2 linked regions of the Elephas maximus indicus genome follow. The protein of the gene in region 2 interacts with the protein of the main gene of each other region in a biochemical or structural test. Links are inferred from orthologs where the notes say so. Each region holds a gene or a part of one and is shown on either strand. Other genes may lie near its edges.

Region 1 (10,624 bases), about 32 Mb from region 2:
AGTGCTTCAGGTCCTCTTTACTTCCAGCTAAGTAGGTTGAATATCTCAGGTTGTTAATGACTCTTTTTCCAATCCTGATGCACAGTTCTTCTTCATATAGTCCAGCTTCTCCGATTATTTGCTCAGCATACAGATTGGATAAGTGTGGTGAAAGGATACAAACCTGACGCATACCTTTCCTGACTTCAAACCATGCATTATCCCCTCATTCTATTGGAAGCACTGCCTCTTGATGTATGTACAGATTCCACATGAGCACAATGAAGTGTTTTGAAATTCCCATCCTTCTCAATGTTAGCCATAATTTCTTATGACCCACACAGTCGAATGCCTTTGCATAGTCAACAAAACACAAGCAAACATTTTTCTGGTATTCTCTGCTTTCAGCCATGACCCATCTGACATCAGCAATGATATACCTTTTACCACGTCCTCTTCTAAATCAACTTGAATTCCTGGCAGTTCCCTTTCAATGTACTATTGTAACGGTTTTTGCATGATCTTCTGCAAAATTTTACTTGCATGTGATATTAATGATATTGTTCAATAATTTCTGCATCCTGTTGGATCTCCTTTCTTGGAGTGTATACAAATATGGATCTCTTCCAGTCAATAACAGCAGATAAGAAATCAAATAACACATCATTAGCAGATCAATGGGTGATAACCTCCAGATGGAGAGCTCTGGTAAAACTGGGTTGAAGCACACTGTACATGAGCCCAGAAAACCCCTATTCTGTCTTCCATGTCAAGTTGTACCCACAACACTGACCTGTCCAGCTCATTTGAGATATGCAAAGTACACATATTATAGCCTTGTTGAGCCATGTCCAGATGGCCCATATTAGCAGAAGAAGCAGGGCAGAGCATAGCCCTAGTGATCCAGTGCCAGCAATGTAAAGCAATTTCAGCAACATGATTTTTGAACCTCTATAATCAGTGGTTAAGCTTTTGATTACTAACCAAAAGGTCAGAAATTCGAATCCACCAGCTACTTCTTGGATAACCCTATGGGGTAGTTATACTCTGTCCTATACGGTCACTATGAGTCAGAATCAACTAGACAGCCATGGACTTTTTTTAATAGTTCCCACAAACCACAATTTCAAGGTCATGTCCTTCCACTCATAGAAGTGAATTAAAGGAGAAAGTTAGATTCCAGTGTTCCTGTTCTGTACAGTTTATGGTAGGTCTAGAGGTCATCCTAGAGAGCTGGGGTGGAATGTGAATTTCTTCCCCCATATAGTAGGCTGGGTGTTAAAGTTGAGATGACTATACTTTTCATGTCAATTAATCCAACTCAAAGCCCCATGCGTCCATCTTTGGAAAAATTCCACCTAGTCAAAAGGGTGCAGGCCTATTCGAACATTATTTACTTTCTGAGAATCTGAGTTAAGTGTAAGGAGGGATTCTAGGATCAATCCTTTGTGCATGTCTTTGTTGCTGCAAGCGTATAACTTGTGCCCAGCTTCACCAAGAGGCTGGATCATACTCTACGAGTAGTTTTTTTTGTTTTTTTGTTTTTTTTTTTAGGAGTATAGTTTTTCTAGCCCTAGTAAACTAAATGTTCAAACTAATAGTTATTGTACTGAAACAAGTGAGTAAAAATATAGTTGCAAAATTGATCATAAACTTAAGAATTCAACTCGTGAGCACTTTTCAGAAACTTGTAGTCAATTGGGTGGCACAGCTCAGACTAGAGAATGGGCCCCCATTTGACCTGCAGTGAGTTCCTTTTGGAAACCCTGGTGGCATACTGGTTAAGTGCTATAGCTGCTAACCAAAAGGTTCGCAGTTCAAATCCATCAGATGCTCCTTGGAAACTCAATGGGTCAGTTCTACTTTGTCCTATAGGGTCACTATGAGTCAGAATCAACTCGACGGCAATGGGTTTGGTTTTCGTTTTGGGGAGCTCCTTTTAAAGCTTGAATTCTCCTAAACACTCTTTCTAATGATGACTGTTCCTTAAGCTGTACTAGATATATTCCTAATAAAAGCTTATTTTAAAAGCAAAGTGGGTGGGGGTGGGTAGAAAATTAGGAGAAGTCATTTACAATGAGTCGAGTGTATTCAAAGTTGGCAACTCAAGAACTCAAACTTCCTACATGGCTTTAGAAGAAAAAAAATATCTAAAAGGCCAAGCACTGAATAGTAGAGAGTGTACTGAAATAAATTTGAATTCTTTGATCTGTGAGTTGCATCTTTGACCTAGCCGAATGCTTTCTTCCAAGGAGCCAAATCAACATTAATGAGTCAGTTTGACCAAGTCTAGCTACTGCTACCAAGATAGAAAAAACTCCAGTGACAATGTATAATTAGACCATATCAAATCCCTCTACTGTTGTAGCTCAGAAACCAAATGAAAAGCTGAATGAAATGCCATGTTCAAAATACTCTGCTAAGCTACCTTCCTGTTCTTTGCTTGGTATATCTATTAAAAAGAAGGCAAGATTGGTTCAGTCTTTATGTAATGCGTTTTGTACAGTCTGCTTAAAAAGAATTTAGAAACAAACTGACACATACAATGTCTAGGAATAGGGAAATAGGGTCCCATGCTATAGGATCTAGATCTTTACTAATACTGGCTCTATCCCCAAGTAGACGAGTCATATACTTTCTTGCCCTCAGTGTCCTAATATTTAAAAGGAAAGGATGAGACCAAATTATTCCCTAGGTTTCTTCCAGCTCAATAGTTTAACACACTTGGTATGTCTTTAAGGGGACAAAAGATTGTTGAAGTAGACCAGTGGTTCTCACACTTGTCTGTACATTGGAGTCACCTGGGAATCCTTAAACTGTATTGATACCTTGGTCTCCTCCAGAGATTCTGATTTAATTTATTTGGAGGACATCTCTATCTTAAAAACTACATCTTAAAAACTCCCCAGGTGATGTGAGGTAGACCTTCTAAACTGTCGATAGTCATGATGCAGGTTTGGGTTTGACTTGGGATCCATTAGGACAGGCCTCTCTGGGTAACTTAGATTTTGTTCCTAAAGTTCTGTTCCCATCAGAACCTATCTTCTGTAGGCTGAGAAGCCAGAGCTGGGCAGGAGGTAGCTCTAACATTAGCAAACCCTCTTACCTTTTCACCTGGAGCTTTCCTAATTAAAGTATTATCCCTATGTGTTTCCACTTCTACTTATTAGTCCTAGCTCTTAAAGTTCTAAATGCGTTTAAACACTTGTGGCTAAAGCTATGTTGGATGCAACACAAGATTCTGGTGTCTCTGAAACCTAACTTCTGTTTAATGAGCACTTTCTGTATGCAGTGCACGGAAGTCTCTACATAAATTCTTACTGATTTCCGTATAATGGCTCTGTCAGCTATATTCCATTGTACAGGTGAGGAAATTCATATCAGATAAGTTGCCTCCAGCCACAGAGCTAAAAGACAGTGCATTCCAGGTGTATGGGATGCCGAAGCCTGAACTCTTAGCCACTTCGCTATACCATGTTGTCTTAGTTTCTTAGTGCTGCTGTAACACAAATACCACAAGTGGTTGGCTTTAAGGAATAGAAATTTATTTTCTCACAGTTTTGGAGGCTAAAAATCCAAATCAGGGTCTCAGCCTTGTCGATTCCATCTTTATAGGTAGTCCCAAGTGTTCCTTGGTTTGTAGACAACCTCATGTTGTCTGTTTTCCCTGTGTCTGATCTATTCTTCATAAACTCAGAAGTGATTAAGTTTAGGATTCACCCTACGCTGCTATGATTGATCACATTACATCAGATTGCATTATGGAAAGTGGTTACATTAGATTACGTCCATCAGTATAGGGGTTAGGATTCCAACATAAATTTTGAGGGGATAGAGTCTAATCCATAACACACCTCTACTCAAAATCTACTGGTTGGGGAACTCCAACTCTGATTTGGCTTGGTTCCAAAGGTGGGGAAAAGCGTCTTGGTTCAGGATTTCATATGCCCTCTGAGTCCTCAGCAATGTTTCCAAGGGCCACAAACAGTGATACGTCCTTGCTGTAAATACGTAACTTGTGTATAGTTCGTTGATCCCAGCATATTCTGCTACTGAGGCCCCTACAGCAGCATCAGCATTTACAGGAAAATCTTCTTAAGGAATCCTTTTCAGGGTGTGTTAACATAGTCTTATTCCCCAGTTAAACAGGCTGCAAAACTCTTACTGTCTGCTCAACTTGGCCCTTCTAAAAGCATAGGCATCCAGCAGTTAAGGGGGGGAGGAAACAGCATAACTTCGCTGCAGCATCTCGGGCAAGGTCCCTTATTCTGAAAAGGCTGCTTTGAAGATAGTGGTGAAGGCTGTTTGCTGGCCTCTTGGCCCCTGAGATTTGCCTTAAAGGTTAATATTTCACATGTTCTAATTCAGCACTTCAGCTGAGGCAGGCATAAGGTTCCAAAGGACAAGGAAACACATACACTGACCAGGACAAAGTACCAGACATTCTAGCAAAGACGTTTATATTGCTTTGTCTTGACTCTCCTTGCTTCTCTTTTCTGTGTCCATTTTGTGTGGCTCTTTCTGAAAAGTTAATTAGTATGTTAAAGTCAGTGGGTTTCTGGCTTTTTGAAAACACCCTATAAAATGCAGATGAAAATCGATGGGATTTTTAACTGTGCTTACCTGTGTTATTCCATCTGATTCACAATGGGTTGCTAAGATTTCTGTAAAACAAAGCAAGACAAGAAAAGAGAGCACATACAGAAGAAAAGGGAATCTAGGCAAGGCTCAGTTTTGAGCTCAGCAACTTATTAGCTATTGATCCTGGTTTGCCCAGCCCATTTCATTATTCATTAAATGGCGGCAATACATCTTTTTTCATAGGGCTGACATGTTTTAAGTACTTGGTATATTAGGTGTTTCCCCCATTCCCCTTAACATTAAAAACAGATTCTATGTCATCTGTGGAATGGTGCTGCCATCAAATAAGTCCTTAACTCAAGTTATTTGTTTTATCCACATTCTGAGACTGACCAAATTCCTGCTCACTCTGTATAATTACGGTAAGAAGGTACACTGGGGTTGGGGGTCAGGGGTGAGTTATAGAAGAGACAGACTTGTATGTGTCATCATATTGCTTCAGAATCCTAGAATGGTTAAGTACCAGCATTGTTGATACCATTACATTCCTGCTGGTGGGAAGGATACGGCAGTATAAAAAAAAGTGCCAGCCCACTCTGTCCCTGCAAAGCCCAGATTGACCAGTGTCCATCATGCTGGCAGTTCCAGAGTTCTAGACATTTTGCATGAATCACTTTAAGTAAGGGACAAACTATAGCTGATTCTTGTTAGTACAAATGGCACAGTCATCCCAAGATGACTCATGTAGTCTTCCAGCCTACATCTCTTGGAGCTTTCTCAGAATCCAGGAAAGATGTTGCAAGCTCTCGAATCTCTCCTAGTCATCTGATTCTAGTGACATGGAAGGAGGAAGTCCCCAGGTTCTTTCAGGGAGGTTTGTATTAAGTCCAAAATCCAAGTTAGATATCTTCACTCAAATGGGACATAATTTTATGGACTTACATTCCATTTACAATTTTCTGTTTAATGTGAGGCCTTAAAAATAAGTCAAGAATATACAATACATTGAGATCCTCATGTTTGCAGTTGTTGCTTCTTATTTCTCTGCTCAAGCTTCTAGTGGAGACAGCCTGTCGCAGAGGACTACAATAACTAACCAAGCTTAGATGGGAAACTGTGAACCTTTGTGCATGTTTTGAGCTCTGGTTTGTAACCCCTGCCTTAATGCCTTGTGTATGTTACTTGACTAATTTTGTGCTCCTTGTTTAGAAAGGCCCCTGGGACTAAACCCAACAAATGAGAAGGCTGTTTGCCACTTGATTTTCCTACATCCACTTGTGCCCTCTTTGCATACTAGAGCTTGAAAGCAGCTCTCATAGTTTAGTGTAACCTAGATACTTCCTTCAACAGCACCTAGTCTGGAAAGGTAATTAAAGGAAATAACTGAGAATTGTTCTGCCCTTAGGATCCCTTTACCAGGACTGATCTCTTTCCAAAAATCAATTCATTCTAAAACCTGCTGAAGCAAATGGGCATGACTGACAATTCTGTAACCATGTTGGAAGGATTGTGCTTTCGAATGTTGGAGTTAAGCTGATTATTCTCAGCAAAGGGAAGCAAATCTGGAAGCAAGCCTTCTATCATCTACCACTTGGACTTTGGAAAAGTCCGTGATGGGGGGGCTCGCTCTTTAAGCCTGAGGAGAAAGGTGAATGTTATCACCCTGGTACATGATATACACACACACAGTTTTGTTAAAGTCTTTCTTTAAGCCTTTCACATTGTTTTGGAAATGGAGTTTATTTTTGAATCTTGGAGTCTATGAGCAGAGCTTACTTTCTGCTTATTTTGGGGATTATAGATACATTTCTGGAAACCCTGGTGGCTTAGTGGCTAAGTGCTACGGCTCCTAACCGAAGGGTTGGCAGTTCGAATCCGCCAGGCACTCCTTGGAAACTCTATGGGGCAGTTCTACTCTGTCCTGTAGGGTTGCTATGAGTCAGAATTGACTCTACGGCAATGGGTTTTGGTTTTTGGTTAGATACATTTCTAATTTGTATGGCCTCTATTGGAGACCTACTATAATAGTTATTGCAATCTAACATGCCGAGCCCTTTTCCCCAGGAATTAATGATAAAGGTACTTTTTCTCCCTTGTCTTTTGTAACTGCCCTATCATCCGAAAACAGACTCTTTGGTTCAGTGAAAGGATATAAACGAAGGATACCAAACACCTTTAAAACAATTCCAATGCTGCAAAAAAAGTTAGACTTAAATGTCCAAAGAGCAAACTTTTTGCTGTAAAACCAAGATCACCCCTCTCGCTTAGAATCCTTCCATTTCGGCCCAGTCCTCCAATAAATACTAGGTAGTTTTTATACCTGGTCTTAAGTAGTGAGATTACTGTGCCTTTTATAACTTTCTTGAATGAACCCATATGCTTCCATTCCCTCCCCCAGGCCTCTCAAAGTACTTGGTCACATTTCTCAAATTCCTTTAAAATATTTCACTTTAGAATCAAAATTGCCAAACTTAATAAGCTTAGTTTTTTCTGGTCAGAAATAATATCTGGTAGGAGAGTGCGATATCAAGTTTCAATGATGAGAAACAATCTCTAATGCCTAGGTTATTTTTTCAGCCAATCCAATCCTGGACCATCTATCTAGCCCATGCCTGCAACCCATGTGTTGTTGAACTTGACATTGCCTAATCAAGACAGATTTGAAGAAATAGCTGCCCAAATACTTCAGGTATTCTCCATAAATAGAAACCATTTTGGAATACTCTTTTGTAGTTCTTGTACTGGATTCAAAGTGGGTATTTTAAACTGTGTAAATATAGCCTTGGAAGCCAAAAGAATATAGTGTAATTTTTTTTCAATTTTTTAAACAGATTTACTTGGGCAAAATTTATACACCATAGAATTTACCTTCTGTAAGTATACATTTTTAGTACTTTTATAAAGTTATGCAGCTATCACCACAATCAAGTTTAAGAATATTTTCATCACCCCCCCAAATCTTTTTTTTTTTGTCATTAATCTCTGACCCTACCCACAGCCCTAGGCAACCACTGATATGTTTTCTATTTCTATAAATTTGCCTTTTCTGGACTTTTCATATAAATGGAATCATACAATATATAGCCTTTATGTCAGGCTCCTTTCATCCAGCATGTTTTTGAGGTTCATCCGTGTTGTAGCAGGTATCAGTAGTCCTTTTTACTGCTGATAATATCCTGTGTGTATGGACGTACCACATTTAGTCTGTATCTCTTCACCAGCTGATGGGCATTTTCGTTGTTTCCAGGTTTTAGCTACTTTGAACGATGCTGCTCTTAAATATTTGCATTCATGTCTTTGTGTGGATTTGGCTTTTCATTTTTTTTGCCTAGGTTCCTAGGAGTGGGATGGCAGGGCTGTGTGGTGAATTTATCAGTTTCGTACTTTATATATACACATAAATATATATATATATATTATTTTTTTGTAAAATATGTATAACAAAAACTAAACCCATTGCTGTCGAGTCAGTTCCAACTCATGGCAACCCCGTATTTACAGAGTTGTATTGCTCCATAGGTTTTTCTTGGCTCAGTCTTCATGGCAGCAAATTGCTGGGTCTTTCTTCTGTGGCACTTCTAGGTAGATTCAAACCACAAACCTTTAGATTAGTAGTCAAGTGCAAACCGTTTATACCACCCCCCCCCCAAAAAAAAACCCATTACCATCTAGTCGATTCCGACTCATAGCAACTCTATAGGACAAAGGAGAACTGCCCCATAGGGGAGCGGCTGGTGGATTTGAACTGTCAACTTTTTGGTTAGCAGCCGAGCTCTTAACCACTGTGCCACCAGGGCTCCCTTATACCACCTGGAGACTTTATATATAACAAAACATTTGCCTTTTGAACCATTTTTAAGTGTACAATTCAGTGATATTAATTACATTCACCTCATTGTGCAGCCATCACTGCTATCCATTTCAAGTCACAACACAATGTAGTTTTTAATAACACATAAATGGATCGATTGCATTTAGGATGTTTTTCAAGAAGAGTTTTCCAGCCTATAAAATCAAAACAGATTAACATTACCATTATTATCAGTTAGAGTCCAGTCAGGAGAGAAACCACATCGGTGATTGAAGTAGATCTTAATGTAAAGAGCTAACTAGGTATAAAGTTGTTATCTAGATAGCTGAGAGGACAAAGAGAACCCTAAGTCATAAAAAAAAAAAAAAAAGTCATAACTGGTAAGCAAACTACAGAAATCACTACCACCCCAACCCTGAAGGGACAAAGAGATTAGAATCATCAAACCTCAGAAGCTAGGAGGTGGGGGCTGCTGCTCCAACCTTTGAGAAGGGACTGCTGCTCAGCTATTGCTGGTGTCCCTGCATTCTGGGGAAGGGCACTGTTGGCCGGAGACCCCGACCTCTGGAGAGAGCACTGGGGAACTGATGCTGGTGTCTCAGAGGGGGACATAATAAGGCTAGTTCAGCAAGTGGTGGAAATGCTGAAGACTGGATTCAGTGGCTGTTATGGAAAGGAACTGTTGCTGCCTGGGTGAAGGAGCACTGCTAGAGTGCCACAGGAGCTGGAGGCCCTGAGAAAGCCCATGTGAAGCAAATCAGAATGTGCAAGTCCCTTCTCCAGCTTGGCAGCCTCCCTCTAGCACCCCCTATTGGCAGAGTCACCATGCAGCCAGCTGGCAAAGCAGAAATGTTGGCAGAGTTCCAGCCATAGCTTCACAAAGCAGGTATAGAAAGGTGATTCTGAAGTTGAGACAACTGGCACGGACCACCCCGTTAGCTACTCAGCATCCACACATACCCTTCTGCACCTGTGAACTTCTCCCCTACAACAAAATAAGTGTTTCCATCCAAAAAAAATTCAACTATCCTTTGTTCAAAGGAAGACTTTCTCACCCTCTTCCCAAACTGAGGAGCTGAAACGTTCCAGTATTCATTGTATCCATCCTGGTGGAAATAGTATCTTTGGGCTGCATTAACCACTCCTCGAGTTTTGCCACAGTCCCATCTGAATAATCTGCTACCCAAAGACTGAATTGTACATTTAGTATCCATACAATATTAAAGAAAAAGGAGAAAAGATAAGAAATAGGTAATGCGTAGAAATGTATGCATCCAACGAGGAAGGAAGGAAGAAAATAGGCATAGCTACAACAGTCCTTGTTACCATTCACGGGAATGACTTGTGTATGCTAACACTGAGAAAGGAGCCTTCTGCCTTACAAGTTTATAGTTCATTAGGTGGACAGACAGGTAAATAGACTCATGAAAGCCATGCAACAGCTATGTGTATTTGGAAGGGAGGAGGTCTTACTTACTGTCTCAGAGACAAATAGATAATTGAGATGGGCAGGTATGGGGAGTGGGGGGAGAAATTAAAACGGAAGACACTTCTAGGAGAAATGAGTACCTACAGGTTGGTGTATGGGAGTGAAAGGAAATAAGGTGCATAAGGAGGAGCAAAATCTTGAAGAGCCTCACATCCAAAGCTGAAATCTAAATAAATTTGTCCTAAATGCAAAGGAGAGCCACTACAGGATTAAGCAGGCAAGTTTCAAACTTTATTCCTAAATTTAGAAAAACTGCATTTAAAAAAAAACCAAATCACAATTCAGCATAGAGAAACCAGAAACCATGGACTGGAGCATCATGGTTTTCGTGAGAGAAAAAAGTAGGGAGAAAAAAATCTCCCAAAAAGGTTGAAAACCAGAGTAATTGTATTTGATCAGGAGACCATCAGCAGTTGAAGCTGACTTTCTCAGACTAGAGTTGGGATGAGCAGTTCTTTGAGGAGAAGGGAATATGAAAAAGACAGAAGCTGAGTGGGTAGGAGGCCACTGGTTGTAGATGTTTAATCCTGAAAGGGTCATGAAATGGTAATCAGAGGTCTACAGGGTCACACAGAAGCTTTTGCCTTATTTCTAAGGAGGTCTAAGTAACTTCCAAATTAAAGGAAAGGGCCTGCTGGGGAGATGAGGATGCAGGGAGGGTGAATGTCCATGTGCCTCCTTACATAGCGCTATGGTGATTTTTTTTTTGGAGAAACTTGTTTTTAAACTAACTTAATTTCTGCTCCTGATGTTGTTAACATGGA
Region 2 (10,521 bases):
CATGGTTTCAAGGGACATCTAAGTCAATTGGCATAATAAAATCTATTAAGAAAACATTCTGCATTCCACTTTGGAGAGTGGCATCTGGGCTCTTAAATGCAGCAAGCAGCCAGCTAAGATGCATCAATTGGTCATCAACCCACCTGGACCAAAGGAGAATGAAGAACACCAAGGACACAAGGCAATTACGAGCCCAACAGACAGAAAGGGCCACATAAACCAGAAACTACATCAGCCTGAGACCAGAAGAACTAGATGGTGCCCAGCTACAACCGATGACTGCCCTGACAGGGAAAACAACAGAGAACCCCTGAGGGAGCAGGAGACCAGTGGGATGCGGACCCCAAATTCTCATAAAAAGACCAGACTTAATGGCCTGACTGAGGCTAGAAGGACCCCGGTGGTCACAGCCCCCAGACTTCTGTTGGCCCAGGACAGGAACCATTCCCAAAGCCAACTCTTCAGACATGGATTCGACTGGACAATGGGATGGAGAGGGATGCTGATGAGGAGTGAGCTTCTTGGATCTGGGGGAAACTTGAGTTTATGTTGTCATCTCCTGCCTGGAGGGGAGATGAGTGGGTACAGGGGATTAGAAGCTGGAGAAATGAACACGAAAAGAGAAAGTGGAGGGAGGGAGCGGGCTGTCTCATTAGGAGAAGAGCGATTGGGAGTATGTAGCAAGGTGTATACGGGTTTTTGTGTGAGAGACTGACTTGATTTGTAAAACTTTCACTTAAAGTACAATAAAAATTTTTAAAAATGTTCACAGAAACATTATTATAATAGTCAAAAACATCAAACAAAGCTATGCTCAAAGCTCAATTAACAAAAAACAAAACAATTTTAAAATGTTAAGATGCAATTAAGAATTAAGTTAGCAAACTTCAAAAACACATTCATAAATCAAAAAAAATGTAAAGCATTTATAAGAACGTCAATTATCTTGTAGTAAACAATCTTGATAAGTGTTTTTAAAAATTGCAATTATAAAACCTAATAGCTAAAATTGACAAACTGATCCTGAAATTCATACAGAAATGCAAGGGACCCTGGATAGCCAGAACAATTTTGAAAAAGAAGAACTGAATTGGAAGATGCATACTTCCCCATTCCAAAACTTACTACAAAGCTACAATAATCAAAACAGTGTGGCACTGTAATAAAGATGGACAATGGAATAGAATTGAGAGTCCAGAAATAAATGCTCTTTTATCATCAATTGATTTCCAACAATGATACCAAGAGTATTCAAAGGGGGGTGGGTGGTCTTTTAAAAAAATGGTGCTGGGACATCTGGACAGCCACATGCAAAAGAATGAAGTTATACCTCTTCCTTGCACCATACACAAAAATTAACTCCAAGTGGATCATAAACCTAAACGTAAGAGCTAAAACTATAAAACACATAGAAGAAAAAAAATAAAAATAGAAGAAAACATAGAAGTAAATCTTTGTAATCTTGGGTTAGGCAAAGGGTTTTAGATAGGACACCAAAAGCATAAGTGATATCTATCTATATGGGATCAAACTGACAATGACAACTCGAAAGATTAGATAGGAAACTTAGGGGGCAGTGAGTTTATGTTAAAGGGAGAGGACCAACTCAGAAAAGGAGGGTGAGAATGGCTGCACAACTCAAAGACTGTAATCAGTGTCACTGACTTGTACAGGTAGAAGGTGTTAAACTGGTGTATGTTTTCCTTGCATATTTTCAACAATGGAATAATTTTTTTTAACAAAAGCACAACTGATCAAAGAAAAGGGATAAATTGGAGTTCATCAAAAACACTTCTGCTTCAAAAGGCACCATTAAGAAAGTGAAAAGACAACCCATAGAATAAGATGAAACATTTACAAACCATATATCTGATAAGAAACTTGTAACCAGAATATATTTAAAAGCCTTACAACGCAATAATAAAAAGACAACCCAATTAAAATACGGGCAATGAATCTGAACAGACATTGCTCCAAAGAAGATATATAAACAGGCAATAAGCACATGAAAAGATGCTCAACATCTTTAGTTATCAGGGAATTGCAAATCATAACTACAATGAACTACTTCTTCACACCCACTACGATAGCTAATATGAAAAAGACGGGAACCCTCAGACATAGCTGGCGGACTTGTAAAATGGCACAGCCACTCTCAAGAATAGTTTGGCAATTCTCAAAATGTTAGAGTCTACCCTATGATCTAGCAGTTCCACTCCTTTGCTATATACCTCAAAGAAATAAAAACATGTTCCTCAAAGAAATAAAAACGTGTCCACCCAAAAAATTTGCATACAGATGTTCATAACAGCATTATTCTGAGCAGTCAAAAACTGGAAATAACCCAAATGTCCATAAACTGATAATGGATAAATAAAATGTGGTCTATACATTTTTTTTATACATACAATGGAATATTACTCAGCAATAAAAGGGAATGAAGTCCTGATTCATGCTACAACATGAACCTTGTAAACACGCTAAGTGAAAGGAGGCAGTCACAAATTACCATATACTATGAGATTCCATTTATACAAAATGTTCAAAATAGGCAAATCTATACAGACACAAAGTGGATTAGTGGTTGCCAAGGCCTGGGGGGAAAAGAAATGGGGTATGACTGCTAATGGGTACGGGGTTTCTTTCTAGAGTGATAAAATTGTTCTAAAATTGATTGTGGTGATAGTTGCACGCCTCTGTGAACATATTAAAAACCACTGCATTGTACACTTTAAATAAGTTTATTGTATGGTAAAAAAAAAAAAAAAAACAACCTAGATGTCTAGTATTATGTTGCTTCTGGAAAACGAGTAAAATTTAAGACAAAGAACTATTAATCGATTTGATCACCAAGCGAGTCCATGCTTGAGATACTTAGAATTAAGAATTTAGGATACATTCCTTACTAACGGAAATATTTCTCCTTTAAATATTTCTAAATCTTAATTAAAATGGAAGTGCAGTATCTGCAACTGTCAGGACATAAAAATAAAATTCAGCCAAAATACGTGAGTAAACAAGCTACTTTCCTGTACATGGCCTGAACTGTACTTGCCATTACAACAAACAATAACTGCAGAAAAACATCCCACAGGGAAAGTGAGAAGTCATTCTCAAAAGAGAATATAATACTAAGAAGAGGGGTGTGGAAAGAATGAGGAACGGGAAAGAGCGCAGGGGATAAAGCGAGGTCTTAGTACATTTAAGCCCAACCAGTTCACTTGTATTAAATTCAAATTCTATATGCTTTGTGAACAGGCCCAAAGGCAAATACTGGGCACAGACCAACGAGCTGAGCTGCGAGGCCGAGAGGAAGTGCTTATCCAGCCCAACCCAGCACGGGATTTCGCGTGGAAATGGTGGGGGGCAAAGGGGATAAGATGGGGGCCTGTGGTGCGAGACGGCAGCTGGTCGCCTTTCCACCCGGCTCTAGCCTGCGCTCCCAGGCTGCGCGCAACGGGAGGCGGCCGCGTCGCCCGCCCGTCCTTCGCGTCCGAGCCGCCGCGCACACCCCTTGCGGAGCGCGCCCGGCGCCGGGAGCCTCCGGTGGGGCCGAGTCCCGTCTCCCGCCCCATCCGGCGCTTTGTCCTGAGCCCAGGAGAACAGCGGCCCCTCGGCGTCCTCGCCGCGGGCTGTGGAACCACGCTGATAGCCCCCGTCCCCGGCACGGCAGCGTCCCTAGGCGTCCGGGTCGCCCGGCGACCCGTAGCAGGCCGGACGACCCGTAGCCGGCCGGGAGAGCCGCAGCCAGGCGGGACCCAGAAGAAGGCGGTCCAAGGACGCTCGCCCTGCCGGGGGAGCCGCCACCGCCCCTCGCATACACAGGCCGACGTCAGGCACCCAGTGTCCGACACCGAAACCCACACAATTTCCAACATACTTCTCTTACCCAAAAATTCTCAACGAAATGCGCCATGACCATCGTGCCGCCGCGCCGGGTTCCGCGTCCGCGCCCGTCCGCTTGCCCGCCACTGTGTAAACACGGACCCGGCCCCCACGGCGCCGCCGCCGCCGCCGCCGCCTTCTTCTCAGTGACCGGCCCTCAGCCTTCAGGGCGCATGCGCCACCTAGCGGCTACTGCCGCCGGGCGAAAACTTGGACTACACAGCCTCGTTGAGCGCATGCGCCCTGGGATCTATTCCCGGGTTTTGGTCGCTTTCATCTCGCCCCAGCCTGGGCGCGGCTAGATTTGAGTATTCTCTTGGGAGTGGTGGAAAACCATGTCCCTGAGGAGTCACTGGGGAGACTGCCCGATCCCTCTGCAGTGTGACGATACTGGCCAGGAATCGAACCTAGGGAGGGGCCGGCTGGCGGCAGTGAAGCCCGCCTTCTTCACAAGGCTAGTTCCCCTGGCCTTCAAAGATCCCGAGTGGACCAAAGTCTAGGCAAGCTGGAATGGAGGCAACTTGGCCTCTAGCCACCTGAGGCGACGCTGAGAAACTTCGAGTTAACAGGGTGCCTTTCCTTGACCGGGAACTAAGAGCCAAAACAAAACTTTCCGAGGCCGGAAAAGGAGGAAACGCCCAGTGTCGCCTGAGAGCCACAGGAGCTGCGCGAGATCCAGAGCAGCCCGAGTCCCTGACCTCTAGCACGCCTGGAGCAAACCGGCCCAGACAGCCAAGAGCAGGAACGTGACCCGAAAGGAATGAATTTCCCTGACCCATGCAGTTTAAAAAAAAAAAAAAACTCTTTCAGGACTTGTTCGTAAGAGTCCATGGTTCTTAGCAACTTGTACATTTTGGAAAAAGAAGCAAGTTTTAACATGCCTCGACCTCACAGAGAAACTAAATCCTCTTCCCACGCCTTGCTTTCCAAAAGCTAAAAAAAAAAAGTTAAACTTTTGTTGAGGTCTCACGTTCACTATCACCAGGTCATTTGCCAAAAGTGTAGGAAAGTCTAGTTCTATCAAAAGCTAGGTTCGGAATCTATAGCCTTTGAAGCCAAGCCCCACAAATAGCTTTAGTGTACGCTATACTATATATGTACATGCACACCGCATCTCAGGTCTTGTAACTTTAAACATAATGAACACTATAAAACTATTTCTTCATGGGAAATTATTTTCATCCTCCAAAGTAAAAACCGTGCAGTGCCTTTCACATAGATGAAACCAGTAAGTGTTGAATTGGGAATGGTTGTGATAGTGGTTTTGTGGCTATATCTTTTAAAGAGTATCTTTTAGGGATATATAGGATGTAATGATAAGACATCTATGATTTGCTTCAAAATAATTTACTGAGGAAGAGGGGATGAGTAGGAATATAGATGAAACAGGATTGACCATGAGTTGATAATTGTTGGAGCTGGGTGATGGAAACACGGTGGTTCATTACATTAGTTTCTCCATTTTTGTATGTATTTGAGATTTACCAGGATAAAGGCTTTTTTAAAAGTTTGGACTACATTGGAAAATGCTATTTCTTTCATTAAGCTGTATTTTTAAAGTCTTTTTAACAATGCCATTTATACATAGTCTAGGGGAAAGTCAAACTTAGAAATATACTACAGCGCTTTCCAAGTCATCAACCTAGTGCTATCTTTCTTGATGCGGAAGACGTACTAAAAAGATAACAGCTGTCTAGATTACCCTGCAAATGAGTTTGCCATTAAATTCCTGATATCTTAAGTACTATCACCCTTAGGTGCAGGCAAGACAGGTCACTATCATTGGCCCTATGCTTCAAAGAACCCAACATATCACAAACACACATACACACATTCACTTATTAAAAAAATGAAATATATTGTGCCTCTGTCACTCATGATCTGATGTTGAACACTGGCACAGTACGACCCATAACCCTAAATACGCTCCCACGACCAAACCATTCAGGTCCCAGAGAAACACTCAGCTTCACATCTCTGCCTAATGTCCTCAAAACAAAAGGTAGGTTCCAAATGCAGTGAGAGTCTGTGGGATATGGCTGCTAACAGAGATAGATTATTTTGGACTTCATGTAGAATTTGAGCAGCAGAAGTGCTTAGGTAAAGAGAAGACTTATTGATTTGTCAAATCCATCCTCTCAGCTTGAATGCAATAGATTCTTGTATAACAAAGCATAGTTCCCCAGTAGTGTCAAGTATAGATTTTCCTTCTCTAAATCTGGAGTGTCACAATTAGAAGCCCTGGTGGTGCAGTGGTTAAAGCACTAAGCAGCTAACCAAAAGGTTCTAAGAGGTTGAACCTACCAGATCCCTCATAGGAGAAAGACGTGGCAGTCTGCTTCTGTAAAGATTTATAGCCTTGAAACCCTAAGGCTCAGTTCTACTCTGTCTTCTGGGGTCACCAAGAGTCGGTATGGACTCGACAGCAGTGGGTTTGATTTTTTTTTGGAATGTCCCAATTTGAGGCATTAGTGGTTCATGGTAGAATTCTCAGCTTCCATGAGGGAGACTGGGCAACATGTCATTCCATTGTGTCTGGGGTCACCTCGAGCTGGGGACCAACTCAATGGCAGGTAACAATAATAGGGTCTCAATTTGTGGTTCCAAAAGTACAATTTAGCATAGTATTCACAGGAGATGCCTATTTGCATGCTTATCTCTGGTCCCATAAAAGAGGCGTGCCTGCCATAAAGATAAATACTCTGTGTATTTCAGGTATTTGTAAGGCTCATTAGAGCCCAAACCCCATATTCTTTAAAGTCTGGTAGGTAAGTTGTAGGACTCTGTACTGAATAGTCATTAAGGTGACTAAATTTCAGATGAAAGAGTATAGCATAGAAGAATGTGGTTGGTATCAGCCAGCTTCTGTCCTCTGAAGTGAGGTTTCCAGGGATGCATATACTCTCTGGCAGAGTATAGATAAGGCCCTGAGGGGTAGCTCACCCAGATACCTTAAAATATTTGTGCCGCACAAGCTTAGCCCTTGCTTATCCAAACACATTTTAAAATTATTAAAACTGACATAGGTAACAACAGTGTTTAACTCAGTGCCTATAATACCTATCACTACATGTGTGACTACTCAGTGAATGTTCAGTGAAAGAACGGATGAGTGATTGAGCCTACCATAGAAACGTCAACATGGATGAAACCTTGGATATGTAAAAACTCCATTCTTCTTTTATTCATATCCCTAATTGGTTCTAGATCTTAGAGCCTGTAAAATTTTCATTGTTTTATTTTCTCACATTACATATTTTCAGAAGAATTCTTTTAGGCTTGAGCATACTTCTTAAAAGGACAAAACTACCTTTTGTAATAAAATTGAAATAATATTTAAGATTTGGCTCCCCTAAACAATATGACCTTCAATTTTTGGTTGTTTCCACCTCCAGGTTCATCTTCCTCAGAGAGTCTCTCTCTGTTACACCTGCCACCAACATGTTGGTTTCCAGGGGTGCTATTGCTTTCCATTGAACTCTGGCCCAAATATTACATCATAGCCTATACCACACATGATCTGTTAAAACATAACTCGATAAAAGTGGCAGCAAGTAAAAGAAGAAATTAACACAAATAAGAGGAGAAATTAACGCAAAATAAATCTACATTTCCTGGTTTACAAAATATAGCTTGTCTCCAAGACAGGTCCCAACCTCTTAGGCAAGGAATCCAGAGAACCTTCCCCTTTTCATTTCTTATTTTAGTCTCCTCCCATTTCCAGTCCTGGGTTCACAGCCCACAGCACAGTAATCAACATTTAGTCACAAGGGTCATTTCCTTATAACTTCACTTAAAATTAGTTCTATTCCAGAAGAGTTGGCTATAAAGTAAAACACATTTTCCCATTTATATTCAATATAATTTTGCAAATGTACTTCCATTTGTTTCCAAAAGTAGAATGGCAGAGGAGAAGCTCTCACAAACCCCTCTTGTTTCCTGCTAATTTCTTCAAGGAGCAGCACCAGATATAGTTGTCCTCTGTACTCATACTTGACAGTAACAAGTGGCAAAAGACCTGAGCTCTATAAGGGAGAAGAGAAACAGGCAGATCCCTGAAGTCTGGTATTTTCTTGTTTTTCTCATGCTCAATAGTAGCATATTGAAAGCAAAAGCTTTGTGCAAAACAGAAAGAAAAGCAAGAGCTTAGCAGATGGTGCCCAGGCAGGCTGCTGTGCTAGGGTGAGGGGGTAGAAACATGTTAATCAAACTGCAGAACAGAGCTAAACATCACCCTCCACACACCCTTTTCAATTCACACTGTTTGCCATGCGTACCTTTCTTCTCTCTTCAGTGGACCTGAGGATGATCAACTGCCTGCTTCCTGCTGAGGCATAACCTCTTTTTCCAGAATGAGATGTACTTTCTCAGGGGCTCCCTTACCTTGCTGTCTTCAGAAGAAGTACAAAAACACCTGGCAGATTGTTCAGAGATTTACACTGTTAGTGACCACAGGGAATCTAACAGGGGTTTCAGAAGTAAGAAAAGAGGAATTACTAAATCACAGTACATAAAATAAAAAATATAATGATGCTAATGTGAAAATGTGTCATTAATGGTAAATGGAAAACCTGAAAATGAAATGGAAAATACATTAAAGCTACAAGTGTGTAAAAGTATACCTGCAATTGGCCAAAAATCAAAAGAAAACATGGAAAATGAAAAAAAAAAAAAATGTGTACGTGTCAGGGTGGTGATATTGTGGCAATATTAAAAATTAAAAATTTATTTTAATGTAATAACACTGTACAACTTAAATAGAAATAGTTGTTCTTTGTTTTTGTTTGAATGTAAATATAACTGGGCCTAATATTCTTCAAAGTCTTTATTGATTCTTTCCTCTCTTTCATTTATTCAGGCAATAGATATTACTTTTATTGAGTACTTATTTAAATGAAAACACCATCTCAGCTCTTAAGAAATTCACAATCTAACATAGGCTAATGATGAGGAGATTGGTAGAGATGATGATAATAATAACAATAGTGTGCCTGAAAGCGTACCTGGCACATAGTTGGTGCCCAATGAATATTTGTTAAATAAAAAAACGAATCAATATTTCTTCCAGAAGGATAAGCTCAAAGAAAATTAATTTATGCTTTTTCTTTTTTTTTTTTCACAAGGAAATTGCCCTGGATTAACTGAAGGTATCCTTCATTATTAGCGCAGTGGTTTTAGGGTCTAGGGGGTAGTGGAGTCTGGAGCAACCAGAAATTGTAACCACAGAAGCCCAAGCAAGAGGCACTCTTGGCTGAGCTTAGAACGGAGGGAGTGGGCCTGGTCTCACTCAAAGAGCCACTGACACCTGATCAGGGATCTGAGTCACTGATGGACCAGCACCAGGTTTCAGCAGTAACACGGTATACTAGTAAAAAGCAAAGTCCCTGAGGTTCTCAGACGACTGAAGGGAAGCAGGGACTCCCATTCATCTGTATTTAACAAACATTTATTGAATACCTATATTGAGCTAGGTCCTCATCTAGACACTGGGGATACAATGGTGAACAAGACCGATAATTTTGCTGCCCTCATGGCACCTAATTAGTGTGGGAAGACAGACCATAAGTGTGTAAATAAGTCTTGATCAGTTAATTCGAAAAAAAATAAGAATTATATCTGTAATTTAGTTCAGCATGTTAAAGCACCTTTCACATATTATCTCATGTGTGATTAAAATAAAATAATTATTATCCCAGTTTTACAGATGAGAAAATATGCTCTTGGGGGTTAAATAAATTATCCAAGGTCACATAACTAATAAGTGGTAAACTACTATTAATTTAGCACTACAATAGAGTCATGAACAAAGTGTTACGGAGAAAGGGAAGTGAAGCCTCAAGCAAAAAAGCGCTTTAAAAGAAGAAGGTTGGTCAAGGTGAGAGACTCATCTACCCTGGGCTTTTACTTGTGGGTTTCTTTGTTTGTTTGTTTGTTTTTAACTTGTAAGTTTAATGTTTATCAGTTTCCAATTCTTCCCACAAAGAAGTCTGTTCCTTGGTTATCTTTTGCCTATCCCAGGTGCTCTAAATGAGCGTGGATGCTAACTAACAAGAATTCCATAAAAATTTCAAGGAAATTTATTATATATTGCTCCTTTAAAAAAATTTTCTCTCCTCACTGTAATTCCTGAAACATGTAAGAAATATAATTGTTCAAAAACTCAGATTCTAGTCAAAATCTAGGGTTGTCCCACACTAAACAGGACATCTGGCCATTGTAGCAGAAGCCAGTCCCTTTTTATAGGCAGAAGGAAGCAGACAACCAAATTCAGCCTGTAAATGTGGCTGTGATATTCTCTGTCAAAATCCTTAAGAAAGACCACTAAATTCTGATTATCTTTTGCAGGGAGGCAATTCCACTGGACAGAACTGACTAGCTCCAAAGGTGACAAAATAAAATTTTTTGTTTCTAGTCCTAAAAATTCACTGGATGACATCTGCCCTGATATACTTTTCTTCACAGTGCTTCAAGAACAAATTGTCACCAACTAGTCTTATTTTTTTTCCATTTAGGTGCAGAAAATGTATGCTAATTTTCTATTCTCACTTCCCACATTGCAGCTAAAACCAATTCTTTCATTATTTAAAGCTATTTTCAAATATATTCTCCAAGACAGAAACATTACCAAGCCATTAT

Evidence for each region. The genes of interacting proteins can lie anywhere in the genome.
Region 1: the proteins of FCHO2 (region 2) and DAB2 form a complex in vitro, tested with the Homo sapiens proteins (2 studies listed by BioGRID). The link is inferred for Elephas maximus indicus from reciprocal best matches to the Homo sapiens genes FCHO2 and DAB2.

Annotation. Positions count from the first base shown.
Region 1 is NC_064820.1:45,207,375-45,217,998, reverse strand, and holds the start of DAB2 (disabled homolog 2), read left to right. Parts: upstream 1-6,395; 5' UTR 6,396-7,168; coding exon 7,169-7,249; intron 7,250-10,624. UniProt on the Homo sapiens protein: Adapter protein that functions as a clathrin-associated sorting protein (CLASP) required for clathrin-mediated endocytosis of selected cargo proteins.
Region 2 is NC_064820.1:76,967,709-76,978,229, reverse strand, and holds the start of FCHO2 (F-BAR domain only protein 2), read right to left. Parts: upstream 4,489-10,521; 5' UTR 3,923-4,488; coding exon 3,890-3,922; intron 1-3,889. UniProt on the Homo sapiens protein: Functions in an early step of clathrin-mediated endocytosis. Has both a membrane binding/bending activity and the ability to recruit proteins essential to the formation of functional clathrin-coated pits.